Linked DNA regions of Anolis sagrei. The protein of the gene in region 1 interacts with the protein of each later gene in a pairwise test. Links are inferred from orthologs where the notes say so. Each region holds a gene or a part of one and is shown on either strand. Other genes may lie near its edges. The genes, in order: YTHDC1 and TRA2B.

Region 1 (10,896 bases):
TCCAAATGTGAAAAGGCCCACTCTCTGTCTTTCCCAGGGCCCTTCCACACACACATATACCCAGAATATCAAGGCAGATAATCCACAATATCTTCTTTGAACTGCATTATCTGAGCCCACACTGCCATATAATCAATTCAATGTGGCTTTTATACAGCTTTGTGGAAAGGGCCCCAAACACCTGGCAGAGGACCACTTCACCAAACGTCAGTCAATCTGCTTTGTTTTTTCTCTCTCCCTCTTCTCTGGGCCTGAAAGAGCTGGTTCTTTTAGGTCACATCCCTTAATTACTTTAGGTTGGATCATGAAGCGTATGTGATCCAAGTTTGATTCAGATTCATCAATAATAATAATAATAATAATAATAATAATAATAATAAACCTTTATTTGTACCCCGCTACCATCTCCCGCAGGACTCGGTGTGGCTTAAAAGAGGCCGAGCCCAAAATACATCAAAAACGAGAAACACAACAACAACAATACAATACAACAATAAATAACTCATAGCAAAGCAAAACAATAACAAAAATCACGGCGCATTTAAAAACCAGTGGCAGGGCCAAATGTAATGATTAATTTTTTTTAAATGCTGGGCATGTCCAGGTGAAATAGGATGGATATTTTGGGGATAAGAGGGTGTGCAGACTTCTAATTCTCTCATAAAGTGCATTTGGGACATATTGCTTGGGATTGCTTAATCTGGGAAGGCACACTGGAACATCCATGTTTTCAAGCTCCTTCTGAAGACTGCCAATGTTGGGGAATGCCTGATGTCCTTGGGGAGGGAGTTCCAGAGTTGTGGGGCCACCACAGAGAAGGCCCTGTCCCTCGTTCCCACCAATCGCGCTTGCGATGCCAGTGGGATCGTGAGCAGGGCCTCTCCAGATGAACGAAGAGATCGTGTGGGTTCGTATACGGAAATGTGGTCACGCAGGTAGGTGGGTCCCAAACCATTTAGGGCTTTGTAGGTAAGCACCTGCATCTTGAATTGGGCCCGGAATATGAACGGCAGCCAATGGAGCTCCTTAAACAGGGGGTTGACCTCTCCCTGTAAGGAGCACCAGTTAACAACCCGGCCGCCGCCCATTGAACCAACTGAAATTTCCAGGCTGTTTTCAAGGGCAGCCCCACGTAGAGTGCATTACAGTAGTCCAATCTGGAGGTGACTAAGGCATGGACCACCCTTAAAGCCCTAAACGGTTCCGGCCCAAGATACCTTTCCGACCGCATCTCGGCCTATGAACCCATCAGGACTTTGAGATCTTCCGGGGAGGCCCTGCTCTCGATCCCGCTGGCTTCTCAAGCACGGTTGGCAGGGACGAGAGATAGGGCCTTCTCGGTGGTGGCTCCTCGGCTGTGGAACGCCCTTCCTACAGACATTAGGCTGGCGCCATCTCTCATGACATTCCGAAGAAAGTTGAAGACCTGGATGTTTGTGCAGGCGTTTGAGTAATTTAGTGCAATCTGGTCATGGAACATAGGAATGGAACAATGGACGACGAACCTGGACTACGCTTGGATGATGAGAAGATTGGGAATGGTTGTTTTTTGTAATAATTGTGCATTGTAATTGCTTATTGGTAATTTATGGATAATGTGTTGTTATATATGGAACCACTGCTGTTTCTACTGTTTTAACTGTTTGTGAACCGCTGCGAGTCGCCTTCGGGCTTGAGATATAGCGGTATATAAGCAAAGTAAATAAATAAATAAATAAATAAATAAATGGACCACCCTGGCCAGATCCGCTTTCACAAGGTACAGTCGCAGTTGGCGCACGAGTCTCAATTGTGCAAAGGTCCTCCTGGCCACCGCCGACGCCTGAGCTTCAAGCATAAGTGATGATCAAGCCACCAAACCCTTCCAAAGTGTTCTGTTGGTCATGGAAGTCATGTATGCCATGTTTGGTTGAATTCCATCATTGGTGGAGTTCAGAATGCTCTTTCATTGTAGGTGAACTATAAATCCCAGCAACTACAACTCCCAAATGTCAAGGTCTATTTCCCTTAAACTCCATCTGTGTTCATATTTGGGCATATGGAATATTCGTGCCAAGTTTGGTCCAGATCCAACATTGTTTGAGTCCACAGTGCTCTCTGGATGTGGGTCAACTATAATTCCCAAACTCAATGTCAATGCCCACCTAACCCTTCCAGTGTTTTCTGTTAGTCATGGGGGTCCTGTATGCTACGTTTGGTTCAGTTCCATCATTGGTGGAGTTCAGAATATTCTTTGATTGTAGGGGAACTATAAATCCAAGCAACTATAACTCCTAAATGACAAAATCAAAAAAATTTGAGTGAAGGACATACATTGGGTTGTTAGGTGTCTTGTGTCCAAATTTGGTGTCAATTCGTCCAGTGGTTTTTGAGTTCTGTTAATCCCACAAACGAACATTACATTAGGTTCTTGTGGGTTTTTTCGGGCTATAGAGCCATGTTCTAGAGGCATTTCTCCTGACGTTTCGCCTGCATCTATGGCAAGCATCCTCAGAGGTAGTGAGGTCTGTTGGAATTAGGACAATGGGTTTATATCTCTGTGGAATGGCTGGGGTGGGGCAAGGAGCTCTTCCCTGCTGCAGTTAGGTGTGAATGTTTCAGCTGATCACCTTCATTAGCATTTGAAGGCCTGCCTGAGCCTGGGAAAATCTCTTGCTGGGAGGTGTTAATTTGTGCCTGGTTGTTTCCTCTCTGTTGTTTTGCTGTTGTAATTTTAGAGTTTTTTAATACTGGTAGCCAGATTTTGTTCATTTTCATGGTCTCTTCCTTTCTGTTGAAATTGTCCACATGCTTGTGGATTTCAATGGCTTCTCTGTGTAGTCTGACATGGTGGTTGTTGGTGTGGTCCAGCATTTCTGTGTTCTTAAATAATATGCTGTGTCCAGGCTGGTTCATCAGGTGCTCTGCTATGGCTGACTTCTCTGGTTGAAGTAGTCTGCAGTGCCTTTCATGTTCCTTGATGCATGTCTGGGCGCTGCGTTTGGTGGTCCCTATGTAGACTTGTCCACAGCTGCATGGTACACGGTAGACTCCTGCAGAGGTGAGAGGATCCCTCTTGTCCTTTGCTGAACGTAGCATTTGTTGGATTTTCTTGGTGAGTTTGTAGATGGTTTGTATGTTGTGTTTCCTCATCAGCTTCCCTATGTGGTCAGTGGTTCCCTTGATGTATGGCAGGAACACTTTTCATAGAATCATAGAATCATAGAATCAAAGATTTGGAAGAGACCTCATGGGCCATCCAGTCCAACCCCCTGCCAAGAAGCAGGAATATTGCATTCAAATCACCCCTGACAAATGGCCATCCAGCCTCTGTTTAAAAGCTTCCAAAGAAGGAGCCTCCACCACACTCCGGGGCAGAGAGTTCCACTGCTGAACGGCTCTCACAGTCAGGAAGTTCTTCCTAATGTTCAGATGGAATCTCCTCTCTTGTAGTTTGAAGCCATTGTTCCGCGTCCTAGTCTCCAAGGAAGCAGAAAACAAGCTTGCTCCCTCCTCCCTGTGGCTTCCTCTCACATATTTATACATGGCTATCATATCTCCTCTCAGCCTTCTCTTCTTCAGGCTAAACATGCCCAGTTCCCTAAGCCGCTCCTCATAGGGCTTGTTCTCCAGACCCTTGATCATTTTAGTCGCCCTCCTCTGGACACATTCCAGCTTGTCAATATCTCTCTTGAATTGTGGAGCCCAGAATTGGACACAATATTCCAGGTGTGGTCTAACCAAAGCAGAATAGAGGGGTAGCATTACTTCCTTAGATCTAGACACTATGCTCCTATTGATGCAGGCCAAAATCCCATTGGCTTTTTTTGCCGCCACGTCACATTGTTGGCTCATGTTTAACTTGTTGTCCACGAGGACTCCAAGATCTTTTTCACACGTACTGCTCTCGAGCCAGGCATCACCCATTCTGTATCTTTGCATTTCGTTTTTTCTGCCAAAGTGGAGTATCTTGCATTTGTCGCTGTTGAACTTCATTTTGTTAGTTTTGGCCCATCTCTCTAATCTGTCAAGATCGTTTTGAATTCTGCTCCTGTCCTCTGGACTATTGGCTATCCCTCCCAATTTGGTGTCGTCTGCAAACTTGATGATCATGCCTTCTAGCCCTTCATCTAAGTCATTAATAAAGATGTTGAACAGGACCGGGCCCAGGACGGAACCCTGCGGCACTCCACTTGTCACTTCTTTCCAAGATGAAGAGGAAGCATTAGTGAGCACTCTCTGTGTTTGTCCACTTAACCAATTACAGATCCACCTCACCGTAGTTTTGCCTAGCCCACATTGGACAAGTTTCCTTGCCAGAAGGTCATGGGGGACCTTGTCGAAGGCCTTACTGAAATCCAGGTACGCTACATCCACGGCATTCCCTGCATCTACCCAGCTTGTAGCTCTATCGAAGAAAGAGATCAGATTAGTCTGACATGACTTGTTTTTGATAAATCCATGTTGACTATTAGCGATGACTGCATTTGTTTCTAAGTGTTTGCAGACCACTTCCTTAACAATCTTTTCCAGAATCTTGCCCGGTATCGACGTGAGGCTGACCGGACGGTAGTTGTTTGGGTCATCCTCTGGGTGGATCTTCATCTTTACTCTCGTGGCTTGTTCTTGGTCTTGCAGCTCTTCTGATGTCTGAGGTGGAGTATCCATTGGCCTGGAGAGCCCAGTTGAGGTGGTTCAGTTCATCTTGGAGGAGGTGGGGTTCGCAGATTCTTTTTGCACGGTCTGCCAAGGCTTTAATGGTGCTTCTTTTTTGACTTGGGTGATGGTTGGAGTTTTTATGTAGATATCTATCTGTGTGTGTGGGTTTTCTGTAGACGGTGTGACCCAATTGTTGATCTGGTTTGCGGATGACTAGGACATCTAGAAAAGGCAGTCTTCCTTCATTTTCTTTTTCCATTGTGAATTGGATTTTTGTTAAGATGGTCCAGGAAACTGTTGAGTTGTGTATGCCATGTTTGGTTGAATTCCATCGTTAGTGGAGTTCAGAATACTCTTTGATTGTAAGTGAACTATAAATCCCAGCAACTACAACTCCCAAATGTCAAGGTCTATTTCCTCCAAACTCCATCTGTGTTCATATTTGGGTATATGGAATATCCGTGCCAAGTTTGGTCCAGATCCATCATTGTTTGAGTCCACAGTGCTCTCTGGATGTGGGTGAACTATAATTCCCAAACTCAATGTCAATGCCCACCAGTTTTTTCTGTTGGTCAGGGGAGCTCTGTGTGCTAAGTTTGGCCCAATTCCATCATTGGTGGAGTTCAGAATGCTCTTTGATTGTAGATGAACTATAAATCCCAGCAACTACAAATCCCAAATGTCAAGGTCTATTTCCTCCAAACTCCATCTGTGTTCATATTTGGGTATATGGAATATTCGTGCCAAGTTTGGTCCAGATCCATCATTGTTTGAGTCCACAGTGCTCTCTGGATGTGGGTGAACTATAATTCCCAAACTCAATGTCAATGCCCACCAAACCCTTCCAGTGTTTTCTGTTGGTCATGGGAGCTCTGTGTGCTAAGTTTGGCCCAATTCCATCATTGGTGGAGTTCAGAATGCTCTTTGATTGTAGGTGAACTATAAATCCCAGCAACTACAACTCCCAAATGACAAAATCAAAAAATTTTGAGTGAAGGACATACATTGGGTTCTTAGGTGTCTTGTGCCCAAATTTGGTGTCAATTCATCCAGTGGTTTTTGAGTTCTGTGAATCCCACAAACGAACATTACATTTTTATTTATATAGATAGAAGATAGATAGATAATGAATATTATGAAATATAATTTAATAATAATGCTGGCTTTTGTATTGGGTGATGATGATGATGATGATGATGATGATTGTTATGTGTGTATGTGCAGCTTTCTTCTCACTTCCACCTCCGGAGAAAGAGGTGTAAAGTAGGCTTGGGCAATCCATGGTTCTAAATGGTTCTAAAGTATTTACAAAACTAAAGTTCTGGTGGTGAAAATTTCAGAACTCTAACAAAACTCTCAAAATTTCATGATAAATGGCAGTTCCTAATTGGTTCTGTCATTAAAATTACCAATAATGAAATAATAATGAAATTTTGAAAGTTTTGTTAGAGTTCTGAAATTTTCACCACCAGAACTTTAGTTTTGTAAGTACTTTAGAACCATTTAGAACCATGGATTGCCCAAGCCTAGTGTAAAGCTCGTCGCAATGAACCAAGACGTTCCCGATGTGAGCAAAGAGATGGAGTGCTCTATAAATATATATATCTCTAGGCTTGACGTCGACAGAGCGAACGGCACTTCGCATGCTATGACGTCAGCGTGCGTGAAAGGCGAGGTGCATTGTGGGAGGCAGGGGATTGTCGCGTAGGGAGTCGGGACGGAAGCGAGGGAGGAGGAGGAGGGGCCTGCGCAGTCTCCATTTTGGTCGACGGTGGGGAGCGGCAGAGGAGCGTCGCTCTGCTTGAGGCTCTCGGGCCGCTTCTTGTCATCGCTTCCTTGCCCTCGTCCACATAAGCGAGCGGCGAGCACGCTCTCTCTCAGGCGCAACAAGACGCCAAGGCGCCGTCTGGACGAGGGAGTCGGCGGCGGCGGTGGTAGCGGAACGATGGCGGCCGAGAGCCGGGAAGAGAAAGGTACCCGAGAGCCGCCTCCCCCTCCTTGGTGAACCTTCTCGCTGCCATAGCAACGGGGCCTGGGTGGGAGGCGGAGGCGGGGGCCTCGCGTAGAAGCGCTGCCTGGGAAGGTCGCGCGCTCGCCCTACTCTACCCCAGGCTCGGGCCTTGGATCCCCTTCTTTCAAGGAAAGGTCGCCTCGCAGGCCTTCCTTGCCTCCCTCCCCCTGTTTCACGAGAATCTTCGGGGAGGAAGGGGGCACTTCAAGCCCCCTCTACACTGCCATACAGAATCCAGATTATCTGCTTTGAGCTGGATTAAAGGCAGTGTAGACCAGTGGTTCTCAACCGTCCTAACGCCGCGACCCCTTAGTACAAGTCCTCATGTTGTAGTGACCCCCAACCATAACGTTATTTTCGTTGATACTTCATAACTGTAATTTTGCTACAGTTGTGAATTGCAATGCAAATATCTGATATGCAGGATATATTTTCAGTCACTGGACCAAATTTGGCACAAATGCCTGATACGCCCAAATTTGAATACTGGTGTGGTTGGGGATGATTTATTTTGTCATTTGGTAATGCTGGAGTTGCTGGGATTTATAGTTCACCTTACATCAAATAGCCTTCTGAACTCCACCAATGATGGAATTGAATCAAACTTGGCACACAGAATTCCCATGACCAAGAGAAAATACTGGGAAGGTGTGGTGGACATTGACCTTGAGTTTTTGGAGTTCATCTATATCCAGAGAACACTGTGGACTCAAGCAATGATGGGTCTGGATCAAACTTGGCACAAATACTCAATATGGCATTTGGGAGTTGTAGTTGTTGGGATTTATAGTTCACCCACAATGAAATAGCATTCTGAACCCCACCAATAATAGAATTGGACCAAACTTCCCACCCTAAACCCCCATGACCAACAGAAAATAATATGTTTTCTGATGGTCTTTGGTGACCCCTCTGACACCCCCTCCCGACCCCCACAGGGATCCCGACCCCCAGGTTGAGAAACACTGGTGTAGACGCATAATCCAGTTCAAAGCGGATATCTGATTTGATAATTTGGATTATATGGCACTGTAGAAGGGGCCTTGGTTTCTCCACTAGCATATAGTAAATGTGTTTTTGATCCTAATTTAAAACAAAAACCAGCACATAGGTGCTTTTTCCAAGTCATCAGATGAGATATGTCTGCATGGTTTGAGGCCTATCATTAAAATATCCAACCTATTTCCCTGGACATGCCCAGCATTTTCAAATTTTAATTCTTACATTTGGCCCTGCCATCGGTTTTTAATTGCACCGTGTCATTATCGTATTGTTTTGCTTTCTTATGAGTTATTTATTGTTGTATTGTTGTTATGTTTTATGATGTATTTGGGCTCGGCCTCTTGTAAGCCGCACTGAGTCCTGTGGGAGATTGTAGCAGGGTATAAATAAAGGTTTATTTGAGCTGGATTAAAGGCAGTGTAGACGCATAATCCAGTTCAAAGCGAATATCTGATTTGATAATCTGGATTATATGGCACTGTAGAAGGGGCCTTGGTTTCTCCACTGGTATATAGTAAATGTGTTTTTGATCCTAATTTAAAACAAAAAATAGAGGTATAAATAAAGGTTTATTATTATTATACAATACATACAATACAGCAATACATGGAGCGAGAGTTGCCAGATGTTCAAGATGGGTTTAAAAAAGGCAGAGGAACGAGAGACCAGATTGCCAATATCCGCTGGATAATGGAGAAAGGCAGGGAGTTTCAGAAAAACATCTACTTCTGCTTCATTGACTATTCTAAAGCCTTTGACTGTGTGGATCATAATAAATTGTGGCAAGTTCTTGGTGGGATGGGCATACCAAGCCACCTTGTCTCTCTCCTGAGGAATCTGTACAAGGACCACGTAGCAACAGTAAGACTGACCACGGAACAACAGACTGGTTCAAGATTGGGAAAGGCGTACGGCAAGGCTGCATACTCTCACCCAACCTTTTAAACTTGTATGCAGAACACATCATGCGATGTGCAGGGCTTGATGAATGCAAAGCTGGGTTGAAAATTGCTGGAAGAAACATTAACAACCTCAGATATGCAGATGACACCACTCTGATGGCCGAAAGCGAGGAGGAGCTGAGGAGCCTTCTAATCAAGGTGAAAGAAGAAAACGCAAAAGCCGGGTTGCAGCTAAACATAAAAAAAACCAAGATTATGGCAACAAGAATGATTGACAACTGGAAAATAGAGGGAGAAAATGTGGAGGGCGTGACAGACTTTGTATTTCTAGGTGCAAAGATTACTGCAGATGCAGACTCTGGCCAGGAAATCAGAGGACGCTTACTTCTTGGGAGGAGAGCAATGTCCAATCTCGATAAAATAGTAAAGAGCAGAGACATCACACTGGCAACAAAGATCCGCCTAGTCAAAGCCATGGTATTCCCGGTAGTAACCTACGGATGTGAGAGCTGGACCTAAGGGAAGGCTGAGCAAAGAAAGATGCTTTTGAGCTGTGGTGTAGGAGGAAAGTGCTGAGAGTGCCTTGGACTGCGAGAAGATCCAACCAGTCCATCCTCCAGGAAATAAAGCCCGACTGCTCACTGGAGGGAAGGATACTAGAGACAAAGTTGAAGTACTTTGGCCACATCATGAGGAGACAGCAAAGCCGACAATTATGCTGAGAAAAGTAGAAGGTAAAAGGAAGAGGGGCCGACCAAGGGCAAGATGGATGGATGGCATCCTTGAAGTGACTGGACTGACCTTGAAGGAGCTGGGGGTGGTTACAGCCGACAGGGAGCTCTGGCGTGGGCTGGTCCATGAGGTCACGAAGAGCCGGAGACGACTGAACGAATGAACAACAAATTATTTATTTATTTATTTCATAGAATCATAGTTGGAAGAGACCTCATGGGCCATCCAGTCCAACCCCCTGCCAAGAAGCAGGTATATTGCATTCAAAGCACCCCTGACAGATGGCCATCCAGCCTCTGTTTAAAAACCTCCAAAGAAGGAGCCTCCACCACACTCCGGGGCAAAGAGTTCCACTGCTGAACGGCTCTTAATCAGGAAGTTCAGATGGAATCTCTTGTAGTTTGAAGCCATTGTTCCGTGTCCTAGTCTCCAAGGAAGCAGAAAACAAGCTTGCTCTCTCCTCCCTGTGACGTCCTCTGACATATTTATACATGGCTATCATATCTCCTCTCAGCCTTCTCTTCTTCAGGCTAAACATGCCCAACTCCTTAAGCCGCTCCTCATAGGGCTTGTTCTCCAGACCTTTGATCATTTTAGTCGCCCTCCTCTGGACACATTCCAGCTTGTCAATATCTTTCTTCAATTGTGGTGCCCAGAATTGGACACAGTATTTCAGGTGTGGTTTAACCAAGGGTAACATTACTTCCCTAGATCTAGACACTATGCTCCTATTGATGCAGGCCAAAATCCCATTGGCTTTTTTTGCCGCCACATCACATTGTTTGTGCTAGATGTGAGCTCTGTGTTACAGCAGTTCAGTAGTTATTTAAATGCTGCATAAAACGTGATGGACAACATTAAAACGTGTAGAAAATATGGGTTGCTCTTCCACTACTGAGTATTTGTGGGCAGAATTAAGAACAAAGCGGGGTAAGAGGAATAATGTATTTAAATAGACTTACTTTACAAGTGTGAGTCGGCCCTGTTATCACACAGCTTGATCCTTGACATAATTATGCATTTATTTTTAGGTTCAGTGCTTGTTTTAAAAATAATTTTAGAAAGCTTTTCAAACCCAAGGAGGGGGGGGGGTCCTTTTTGCATTTCACAGGAACAACGTACTGCAGAGTGGTGACTGCAGTAGTTCTGCCTTCTGTGTGCTGAGGCAAATATTGACAAGGTAGTCTTGCACAGTCAGGTTTATGTAGGAACACCTTATATAGGTGTATCATGATGACTATGAAATGAACTGGAAGATTGTAGCCTGCATTTTCATTTCCATCTTGTCTCCTGGAGATGCCATCAGCTGGAGATGCCTCTCCCCAACACAAACTTGCTCTGGGCCAGAGTGAAGAGAGGGGAGGCCAGGGGACAGTTCCACCTTGTCTCCTGTGCTATTCTAATAATATAATATATTGTATATACATATAATATTTATAGTATTAGATATATAATACTATATTATATATCTAATACTATATATCTAATACTATATAATATTATATATTATATACTAATAATATAATATATTGTATGTAATATATACCTTCTGAGCCGCTCGTGAGTCCCCTTCGGGGTTAGAAGGGCGGCATGTAAATGTCGTAAATAAAT
Region 2 (10,858 bases), on another chromosome or scaffold:
TTGTAAGTTGCCTTGTGCCTTAGGTCTAGAGAAAGAGTATTACTTTAGCCATGTTATCTTAATTTATAATCCAAGTTTGAGTCCCATTTTGTGAGAATGTCAGGATACAAAACAAATGAAAAAACAAGACTGCAAGCTGACCTGCAGTTTGGTATATTACCATCATTATTATTAATCACTTTTCCCATAGTTCAATCTTATTATTGTTGTTAGTAGTAGTAGTAGTAGTAGTAGTAGTAGTGTTGCTGTTGTTGCTGTTGTGATTATCTACTATTGTTGTTATTGTTACTTATATCCGTCTTTTCTCTCAGGACCTAGACCCAAAGATGCTCACAACCTTAAAAATGCTAATTTAAAAATCTATTAAACACAAATATTAAAACAAAAGGAAATGTTGGAATATGCACAAAGAGTATGACATTAAGAGGTTGCAAACTGGCATCAGCCCCTAAAGCAAATATTTATTAGTTTTTTCTGTAATTTAAGAGATTTGCATTGATTTTAATGATTTAATTATTTATTTTTTAATATTCCTGATATTGAGAAATTGGACCCTCAAATTATGAAATATATAACATAATATGAAATGGAAACTGCAGCTCCACAAAACCCATTAATCATTGTTGTAAACTGTCTCTAGAATGTCGTCTGGTCACACCCAAATCCCCTGCCTTTAATTTCTATAATCGTTTCACAATGGATTGGGAGATAAGGTGGGGGGTGAATTACTCAACTATGTACATAGTGGTAATTGGGGATTTCAATTACTTTGATATTTGTTGGAAAACAAACTTTGCCAAGAAAAAGTTCAGCAAATTCCTCACTTGCCTTTCTGACAATTTTATTGTTCAGAAGGTAGAAGAGGCAATAAGGGGATCAGCTATTCTGGATCCGATCCTAAACAACACTGAGGATCTGGTCAATGGAGTTGAAGTGGTGGGATCCTTAGGTGGGAGTGACCATGTGCCCCTGGAGTTTGTGATATAATGATATAAAACTAAGAGAAGTCAACCACGCATTCAAGAACTTTCGGTTGTTTTTACAAAATTCACAACATTAAAGGAAATACTGAGCCTGATTCCTTGGACAGAAACACTAAAAAAAAAGAAGGGAGTTAATAATGGATGGGAGTTTCTTAAAAATACTTACTTAGGCGATCCCTCATAGCCCAAGGATGATGGTCGTCCATGTGTAGTATCGTGGCGGTAGATCCGTAGGTGGCTGTGGAGCCCTATTGTTGATCGATATATTCTCCCACAGTGAGGACATTGGTTTTCAGGTGGAAGGTGGTCCCAGTCAGGGATGGCTTGACACGCCTTCCTCTTGGCATGTTTCTCCCTTTCGCCCTCCACTCATGCCTCTTCGAATTCTGCAGCACTGCTGGTCACAGCTGAACTTCAGTTAGAGCACTCAAGGGCCAGGGCTTCCCAATTCTCGATATCTATGCCACAGTTTTTAAGGCTGGCTTTAAGCCCATCTTTAAATCTCTTTTCCTGTCCACCAACATTATGTTTCCTGTTCTTGAGTTGGGGATATAGTAACTGCTTTGGGAGACGACATTCAGGCAAACATGGCCAGTCCAGCGGAGTTGATGACATAGGAGCATTGCTTCAATGCTGGTGGTCTTTGCTTCTTCCAGCACATTTACATTTTTCTGCCTGTCTTCCCAGGAGATTTGGAGGATTTTTCAGAGTCAATGCTGATGGAATTGTTCCAGGAGTTGAGTGTGACGTCTGTAGACAGTCCACGTTTTGCAGGCATATAGCAGGGTTGGGAAGACAATAGCTTTATAAACAAGCACCTTGATCTCCCAATTCTCAAACACTCTCTGCTTCATTAGAAAAAATGCTGCACTTGCAGAGCTCAGGCGGTATTGTAATTCAGTGTCAATGTTGACTTTTGTGGAGAGGTGGCTGCCAAGGTAGCGGAAATTGTCAACATTTTATAATGTTACACCATTAAGCTGTATTTCTGGCATTGCAGAGGTATTGGCTGGTGAATGCTGGAAGAGCACTCCAGTTTTCTTAATGTTCAATGAGAGGCCGAACTTCTCGTATGCTTTGGCAAAGGTGTTTAGAGTGGCTTGTAGGTCTTCTTCTGAATGTGCACAGACTACACGAAATTTAAGGAAATACTGAGTGTGATTCCATGGACAAGAATACTAAAAGATAAGGGAGTCAGTGACGAGTGAGAGTTTCTTAAAAGTGAGATACTGAAAGCACAATTGTAAACAGTGCCAGCAAGAAGAAGAAAAAAAGGAGAAATGTAAAACAACCAGAATGGGTGTCCAAACAACTTTTAACAAAGCTAAGATTTAAAAGAGACATGCACAAAAAATGGAAAAAGGAGGAAATCACCAAAGAGGAATTCAAATAACCAACATATGTAGAGAAATGTTTTGTGAAGTTAAGGCGTAAAATGAGCTCAGGCTTGCCAGAGAGATTAAAAACAATTTAAAAGGGTTCTTTGGTGGGTCCTCTGCATGGAGAAAGTGGTGAAATGCTAACAGGGGATAGGGAAAAGGCAGAACTGCTCAACACCTTCTTTGCCTCGGTCTTCTCCCAAAAAGAGATTGGTGTTCAATCTGAGCAATATGGAGCGGACGAGGTAATAGAGGAAATGCAACCCAAAATAGGTAAATAAGTAGTCCAGGAATACCTGGCTACTCTAAACGAATTCAAGTCTCTAGGGCCAGTTGAACTACATCCAAGAGTTTTGAAGGAACTAGCAGAAGTCATTTCAAAACAACTGGAAATAATCTTTGAGAATGCTTGGAGAACAGGAGAAGTCCAAGCAGATAGGAGGAGGGCAGATCCCTATCTTCAAGATGGGAAAAAAGAGGATCCAAACAGTTACCATCTAGTCAACCTGACATTAATACTAGGAAAGATCCTGAAATAGATCATGAAGGAGATAGTCTGCAATCACTTAGAAAAGAATGCTGTGATTACTAGCTAACATGGATTTGTCAAAAACAAGTCATGCCAGACACATCTTATCTCTTTTTTCAATATAGTTACAAGCTTAGTAGATGCAGGAAATGCTGTGGATGCCACATATTTTGATTTCAGTAAGGACTTCAACGAAGTCCTCCTTGACCTTCTTGAAAACCTCTTTTCTTGAGTTTATCGCCTTGTGAGTTCCTTGGTTTGACATTCCAGGCCTTCAACTGTTTCGTTTTGCATCTCAAAAGAAGGTGATGGGTGTTTTATGGCTCTGTTTTCTCTTCTTTCAACTGGTATTTATTATGTGTTTCACTTAAGGCTGAATTCCTTCTAATGCTAAAGACTAAGTCTAGTTATTTAATCAAACCTATTCTACATGTTCTTGCTATTGTTCAATAATCAAATGCAATCAGGCTCTTTGTTCCCTTCAATATGGTAATGTAGATCAAGCCTTTGTCTCTCATATGTCCAAGGCCTTAGTCCTTCCAGAGAGATGGCAAGCTATTTAACCTCAGCAGGCTAAAAACCAGAACCAAGGTTACAACAACTTACTTACTTACAGTATTTATATTTCGCCCTTCTCACCCGACAGGGGACTCAGGGCGGATTACAATGTGCACATATATGGCAAACATTCAATGCCAATTTGACATACAGTGTATACAGACATACACAGAGGCTATTTAACTTTTTCTGGCCGCCAGGGGAGCTGTCGCTTTCATCGTCCATCTGCGACACTGATGAAATACTTCCGCATTCTCTGCATGCTTTTTCTGGAGTGCTTTGCTGGAGTCTTTTTTTATGGCCTCATAAATTAGTTAATTTGATGCTCCCCCACAATCAACTCCGCTGGACTGGCCACGTTGTCTGGATGTCCAACCACCGTCTCCAAAAGCAGTTGCTGTACTCCGAACTCAAGAACGGAAAACGGAATGTTGGTGAGCAGGAAAAGAGATTTAAAGATGGGCTCAAAGCCAACCTTTAAAACTCTGGCATAGACACTGAGAACTGGGAAGCCCTGGCCCTTGAGCGCTCCAGCTGGAGGTCAGCTGTAACCAGCAGTGCTGTAGAATTTGAAGAGGCACGAATGGAGGGCGAAAGAGAGAAATGTGGCAAGAGACTGCCTTACACCTGGAAACCAGTGCCCTCACTGCGGGAGAAGATGCAGATCAAGAATAGGGCTCTACAGCCACCTACAGACCCACCAGTACACTGACCTTGGAAGACTATCCTACTCTGACGAGGGATCGCCTAAATAAGGTAGTGTTGATCAAGTCTTTGTCTCTCATATGTCCAAGGCCTTAATCCAGGGGTCCTCAAACTTTTTAAACAGAGGGCGAGGTCACAGTCCCTCAAACTGTTGGAGGGCTGGATTATAATTTGAAAAAAACACAAATGAATTCCTATGCACACTGCACATATCTTATTTGTAATGCAAAAAACCCACTTAAAAACAATACAATAATTAAAATGAAGAACAATTTTAACCAATATAAACTTATTATCATTTCAATGGGAAGTGTGGGCCTGCTTTTGGCTGATGAAATAGGATTGTTGTTGTTATTGTATGCTTTCAAGTCGTTCCAAACTTACAACAGCAAAACAACAGAGAGGAAACAATCTGGGACATCTAATTACCTCTCAACAAAAGGCTGCTCCAGGCACTGCCAGGCAGGGCCGTAGCCATAAAAAAATTCGGGGAGGGTTGAAAAATTTTGGGGAGAAGGGAGTTTTGAAAATTTCAGGGGGGGGGGGGCTTGAAAATTTCGGGGGGGGGGCTTGAAAATTTCAGGGGGGGGGCTTGAAAATTTCGGGGGGGGGCTTGAAAATTTCGGGGGGGGGGAGTTGAAACCTGCCTCTTAGTTCACGCTGAAGCAGGGGGCAGAGCAGCCTTCAATAGCTTGCAGCTCCGCCCCTGTCAACCACCTCCACCAAGTCTGGCCTCCTTAATGAGAGCATTCAACACACACACACCCAACTTGGTTGCTTCGCTACATTGGCTATTGCTGCAAGTAATGACAGTCTGAATAAATTGTAAATATTTGCTTGAGATAGTGCTTGCAATTCTGGATGGACTCTTAATTTTTTGCGTCTCATAGATTTAGCATGGGGATTTGGTTAACCAGTTAAAATTCATGAGTAAACCAGGGGAGAAAATTTTCGGGGGGGGGGGGTTGAACCCCTAACCCCCCCCCCCCTCGCTACAGGCCTGCTGCCAGGCTATCAAATGCTAATCAAGGTGATCAGTTAAAACATTCACACCTAGCTCCAGCAGACAAGAGTCCTTTGTCCCACCCTGGTCATTCCAGAGATATATAAACCCTTTTTCCCCAGTTCTAACAGACCTCACAACCTCTGAGGATGCTTGCCACAGATGCAGGCGAAACGTCAGGAGAGAATGCCTCTAGAACATGGCCCTATAGCCCGAAAAAAAACCTACAACAACTCATTGATTCCGGCCATGAAAACCTTCGACAATACAATAAAGCGTTTCTGGAGGCTTCGAAGGGCAGCACGTGCCTCTCTCCAGCGCGAGGCGGTGGGGGGGGGGAGCTGTGACGTCACGTTCGCGGGCAAGGGGGCGGGGTCTGCTCCGGCTGCGTCACTTCCTCTGCGGAGAAGGCTGCCTGGCGAAGGGACGGTTCGGTGCTAGCAACCGCGGTCGGCGTCCCGAGCTCTGAGGCGGGAGACATGAGTGACAGCGGGGAACAGAACTACGGCGAGCGGGTAATACGGAGGCGCCAAGCGGAGGGGAAAAAACAAAACACAAGCAAAATAGGCCGTTAGATAGATATATATATTTATTTAAAATACCCCCTTTTTGGGGGGTTTTGTTTTCTGAAAGGGAAGATGGATACAAGAGGGAAAGGGCCAAAGATGGAGGTCTGGGGGGGGGCGTGTTTGGACGTCCAGAGGGAGTCGGGTGGGTTTGGCGCGCGAGGGGGGGGAGAAAAAGCCCGCCGTTTGGTTCTGACGTGGAGTTCTCTCTGCGGTGAGATCCTCGGCCGGCGCCATCTTGGGCTAGTGACCCGAAGCAGCGCGCGCCGCCTCCTCCTCCTCCTCCTTTGCTGCTGCTGTTGCCGCCGCGGGGACAAAATGGCCGCCCTGGTCTCGCCTCGCGGGAGAAAGAGAAAGCAGGCGCCTTCCTCGCGCTCCCCCCCTTTCCTATACGTGTAACCCAGGACCAACGTTTTAGGAAGGCAGAGGTCGCTCTCGGCGGCCTCGCCTTTCAATTTCGAATTATTAGAACCAGTATTGGTTTCTCTCACCACTCTGAGAGAAGGAAGAGTGGCTCCTGCGTGGCTTGGCAGAAGCCAGGCAGTAATCCTAGAGTTGGAAGAGACCTCATGGGCCATCCAGTCCAACCCCCCTGCCAAGAAGCAGGAATATTGCATTCAAAGCACCACAGAATCATAAAATCCTAGAGTTGGAAGAGACTTCATGGGCCATCCAGTCCAACCCCCTGCCAAGAAGCAGGAATATTGCATTCAAAGCACCGCCGACAGATGGCCATCCAGCCTCTGTTTAAAGACCTCCAAAGAAGGAGCCTCCACCGCACTCCGGGGCAGAGAGTTCCACTATTGAACAGCTCTCAAAGTCAGGAACTTCTTCCTCATGTTCAGATTGAATCTCGGTTAACACTTAGTGCTGTGCAGTCCTGGGATTTGTAGTTTACAGAGGCACTAGCTCTCTTAGGCCCCTTCCACACAGATGAATAAAACCCCACATTATCTGCTTTGAACTGGAATATATTGCAGTGTGGACTCGGATAACCTAGGGCAGTGGTTCTCAACCTGGGGTCCCCTGATGTTTTTTAACTCCCAGCTGGTAAACTGGCTGGGATTTCTGGGAGTTGTAGGCCAAAAACATCTGGGGACCCCAGGTTGAGAACCACTGCCCTAGGGGCTCTTCCACACAGCCATATATCCCAAAATATCAAGGCAAAAAATCCCACATGATCTGCTTTGAACTGGGGGCCCTTCCACACAGCCTTATATCCCAAAATATTAGGGGCAGAAAATACCACATCTGCTTTGAACTGGATTATCTGAATCCACACTCAGATAATGTGGGATTTTCTGCCTTGATGTTTTTGGGATACAGAGCTGTGTGTAAGGGCCCCCAGTTCAAAGCAGATATTGTGGGATTTTCTGCCTTGATATTTTGGGATATAGAGCTGTGTAGAAAGGCCCCCAGTGATTCTTGTTTGTGGGATGTGTGTGTGGCCCAGGCCCCTTCCACACAGATGTATAAAATCCACATTGAGCTGGATTATATGGCAGTGTGGACTCGGATAATCCAGTTCAAAGCAGATGTTGTAGGGGTTTCTGCCCTTATATTCTAGGATATAGGGCTGTGTGGAAGGGCCCTAAGGCAAAAGACCTTGTAAAATTACTATTCTGATGCAGATTTCCGCCGCTTCAGTGGTTATGGCTCAATCATGGGGCTTGTTGTTTGGAGAAGCACCAGCTCTCTTAGGACCCTTCTACACAACTATATAACCCAGAATATCTGCTTTGAACTGGATTATCCGAGTCCACACTGCCATATATACCAGTTCAAAGCAGATAATGTGGGATTTTATTCAGCTGTGTGGAAGGGACCTTAGATAGAGTATGCTGAACACATTGTAAAACAGGCATGGAAAAAATTTGGCCCTCTGGGTGTTTGGACTGCAACTCCCACAATTCCTAACAGTTGTTAGGCTGTTAGGAATTGTGGGAGTTATAGTTCAAAACACCTGGAGGACCAAAATATGAATAACGAAACCACAACATGATCAAGAATCTCTAAGCAGTTTTTTTTACTAGTGTTGCAGTTTCCATATATTATATCACACCATCCCATTTTATAGGGTTACATCATGTGCATGCTCATGTGAGTGATTTATATAAGTTCTGGACTGGGTCAGTTTTCTTTGACGTTTAATAAGCTTTTCTATAATCCCTCCTTATTATCCAACTTTTTCGCTTATTCAGCGTTCTGTCAGCCCATTTATGTTGGATAAGCGAGACTCTACTGCAGGGGTCCACAAACTTTTTAAACAGAGCCAGGTCACAGTCTCTCAAACTGCTGGAGGACTGGATTACAATTTGAAGAAAAAAAATTAATAAATTCCTATGCACACTGCACATATTTTATTTGTAGTGCAAATAACACTTCAATACAAAAATTGAAATGAAGAACAATTTTAACAAATATAAACTTAATAGTATTTCAGTGGGAAGTGTGGGCCTCCTTTTGGCTGATGAGATAGGATTGTTGTGTGCTTTCAAGTCGTTTCAGACTTAGGTTGACCCTGAGTGAGGACTGGATAAATGACCTTGGAGGGCCGCATCTGGCCCTCGAGCCTTAGTTTGAGGACCCCTGCTCTACTGTATTCTGAAATCCAAAGCATTTGGTCACAATCATTTGGGGCAAGAGATACTCAACCTTCATATTCTTTGGCAAACCTAATCTGGGTTCTAAACCTCTGGATTTTGAGTGAAGGAGGAAGTTAGACTTAACCTATATTTTTAAAAACATGCTTGACAGTATCTTGGGAACTTGTATTGTAAGCTGTATTAAAAGATGGTACCTTAAATACCAAATTTCAAGCAAGTAGCAAAAATGTTTAAGGAAGAAATATGCTAGTAAATTGGAATAAAAAACTCAATACAATAACTTTGGATTTTTAATGTTTCAACTTTTATTGTGTAACCTACATTGTGGAGGCTATCCTTTAAGCAAAGACATTGTGAAGGCTATCCTTTAAGCAAAGAGGGCTATATTTCCTATACTAAAATTGAGACATACAATAGAGGCTTAGAACCACCTTGATAGTTTGAATTAAGGCCACATTATGAAGTTGTCTTCCTGGTTGGAGGAATAGACAGGAGAATATGTGGGTGACTTTATTTTATTGTGCACTGATGTTTTAATTTAACTGTTGAATTGTTTTGTATTTTATATTGTTGTTGATTGATTTAGGCATCTAATTATGCCTCCTATGTAAGCCGCCCTGAGTCCCCCCCCCCCCCCGGGGTGAGAAGGGCGGGGTATAAGTAATTGAAATAAATAAATAAATAAAAATTTGCTTCAGCAAGAAAACACATGAAAAATAAAGTGGCAGAGTATGTTCTAGACTAGCTCCTTTTCTCTGTTAATCTTAAACAAAGGAGCATAGTTATTTACCTGTAAAGGACAATACAGTTCAATAGTTGTATAAAATTGAGAGCTAATTGAGAAGCGGCAGTAATCTGCATAGGAATAGTAGTTTTACAAGGTCCTTTGCCTTAGAGCCCATTGAGAAGTGAAATTGCAGAAAGATTAGAAAATAAATACTATAGCTTGGTGTCCAATTTTAAATTAACTTTAAACATTTATTCTAGGCTGCATTTTATTGATTTAAAGTAGTTTATATTATTTTACTGTTACACTGCTATTGTTACTTTAAATTTTGGATTTTAATGTTTTTAATTTTATTGTGTAACCTACATTGTGGAGGCTGCCCTTCAAAGCAAAGCAATATTGAAAAAAACAAACAAAAGTAGACATATTGGATAGCTTCATTGTGGTTGGTGAACATGAGTATGGCAGCTCCTTGCCTGTTTGTCTTTTACTTGCATGTGCATCTCCTGTTTAGATGAACTAGATTTGGAGGAATACCAAGCTGAAATCAGGTATCTTTCAAATCTAGTGATTGATACTGATTCAGCACTGGATATTAGGGATTCATAAAATACTTGTGTATCTGGATATTGCAGATGTTGCAGATACGCTCCTGGGGCCTTTCCACACAGCCATATATATCAAGGCAGAAAATGCCATAATATTAATAATAATAACTTTATTTTTATACCCAGCCACCATCTCCCTGAAGGGACTCGGAGCTGCTTACAAGTGGGACCATGCCCAGGACATAAAACAAAATGCAGTTAGAGACATAATAACATGCAACGGTCCAGTTATAACAATTAAAAACAACAAAGTATAAAAAAGCATTTAAAACCATTTCAAACCAACTGAGTAACCAGGAATATGATAAGCATGATCAGGCTAGAGAGGGCTGGGCGTGGACTCTTGCAACAAGCAGATTGTAGGGCAAAGGGTAAAGTCCTTTGAACTGGGGCCCCTTCCACACAGCTACATAAAATCCCACATTATCTACTTTGAACGGGGTTATATGGCAGTGTGGACTCAGATAAGATATTGTGGATTATCTGCCCTGATATTCTGGATAATATGGCTTTGTGGAAGGGCCCTGGGTTATCAGAGTCTACACTGCCATATATTCCAGTTCAAAACAGAAAATGTGGGATTTTATTCACCTGTGTGGAAGGGACCCTGGTATAGAAGGTACTTTAAAGAAAACTTTAATCTCACTTGTCTTGCTAGATATCTTGGCAACAATATGTACTAGCTCTAGGAGGCAACATGTCTATTGCTAGAGTGAACATATTGTTGCCATTAGCAGTTGATAGTTTTGTTTCATTAATATGTGTAACCATTTTAAAGTAATCTCTGGGGTCGGCATTTGCAATTTATAATAGAGAATTCTGCAGTTTAGCTGTATACATGTTTCCTGTTTTGGGTTTCTACTATTCTGCTTTTTGTTATGACTACAAGCTCTAGTATTTAGCATGTTCATTGGCACACTTAATTAAATAGCATGCACATGTTGAAGCTGTGTGTATTTTGTCTATTATACACTCTAACTCAGTGGTTCTCAACCTGTGGGTCCACAGATTTTTGGCCTTCAACTCCCAGAAATCCTAACAGCTGATGAACTGGCTGGGATTTCTGTGAGTTGTAGGCCAAAACACCTGGGGACCCACAGGTTGAGAACCACTGCTTTAACTGAAGACTGAATACAAGTATAGCTGCTGTGTCAGTCTACTCCCAAAAGACTAAAGAGGTGCAAAGTGCACCAT

The links.
Region 2: the proteins of YTHDC1 (region 1) and TRA2B interact in binary tests that used the Homo sapiens proteins (3 or more experiments, as listed by UniProt). The link is inferred for Anolis sagrei from reciprocal best matches to the Homo sapiens genes YTHDC1 and TRA2B.

The regions. Positions count from the first base shown.
Region 1 is NC_090026.1:55,921,563-55,932,458, reverse strand, and holds the start of YTHDC1 (YTH domain-containing protein 1), read left to right. Parts: upstream 1-6,348; 5' UTR 6,349-6,583; coding exon 6,584-6,611; intron 6,612-10,896. UniProt on the Homo sapiens protein: Regulator of alternative splicing that specifically recognizes and binds N6-methyladenosine (m6A)-containing RNAs.
Region 2 is NC_090023.1:222,896,607-222,907,464, reverse strand, and holds the start of TRA2B (transformer-2 protein homolog beta), read left to right. Parts: upstream 1-5,522; 5' UTR 5,523-5,636; coding exon 5,637-5,672; intron 5,673-10,858. UniProt on the Homo sapiens protein: Sequence-specific RNA-binding protein which participates in the control of pre-mRNA splicing. Can either activate or suppress exon inclusion. Acts additively with RBMX to promote exon 7 inclusion of the survival motor neuron SMN2.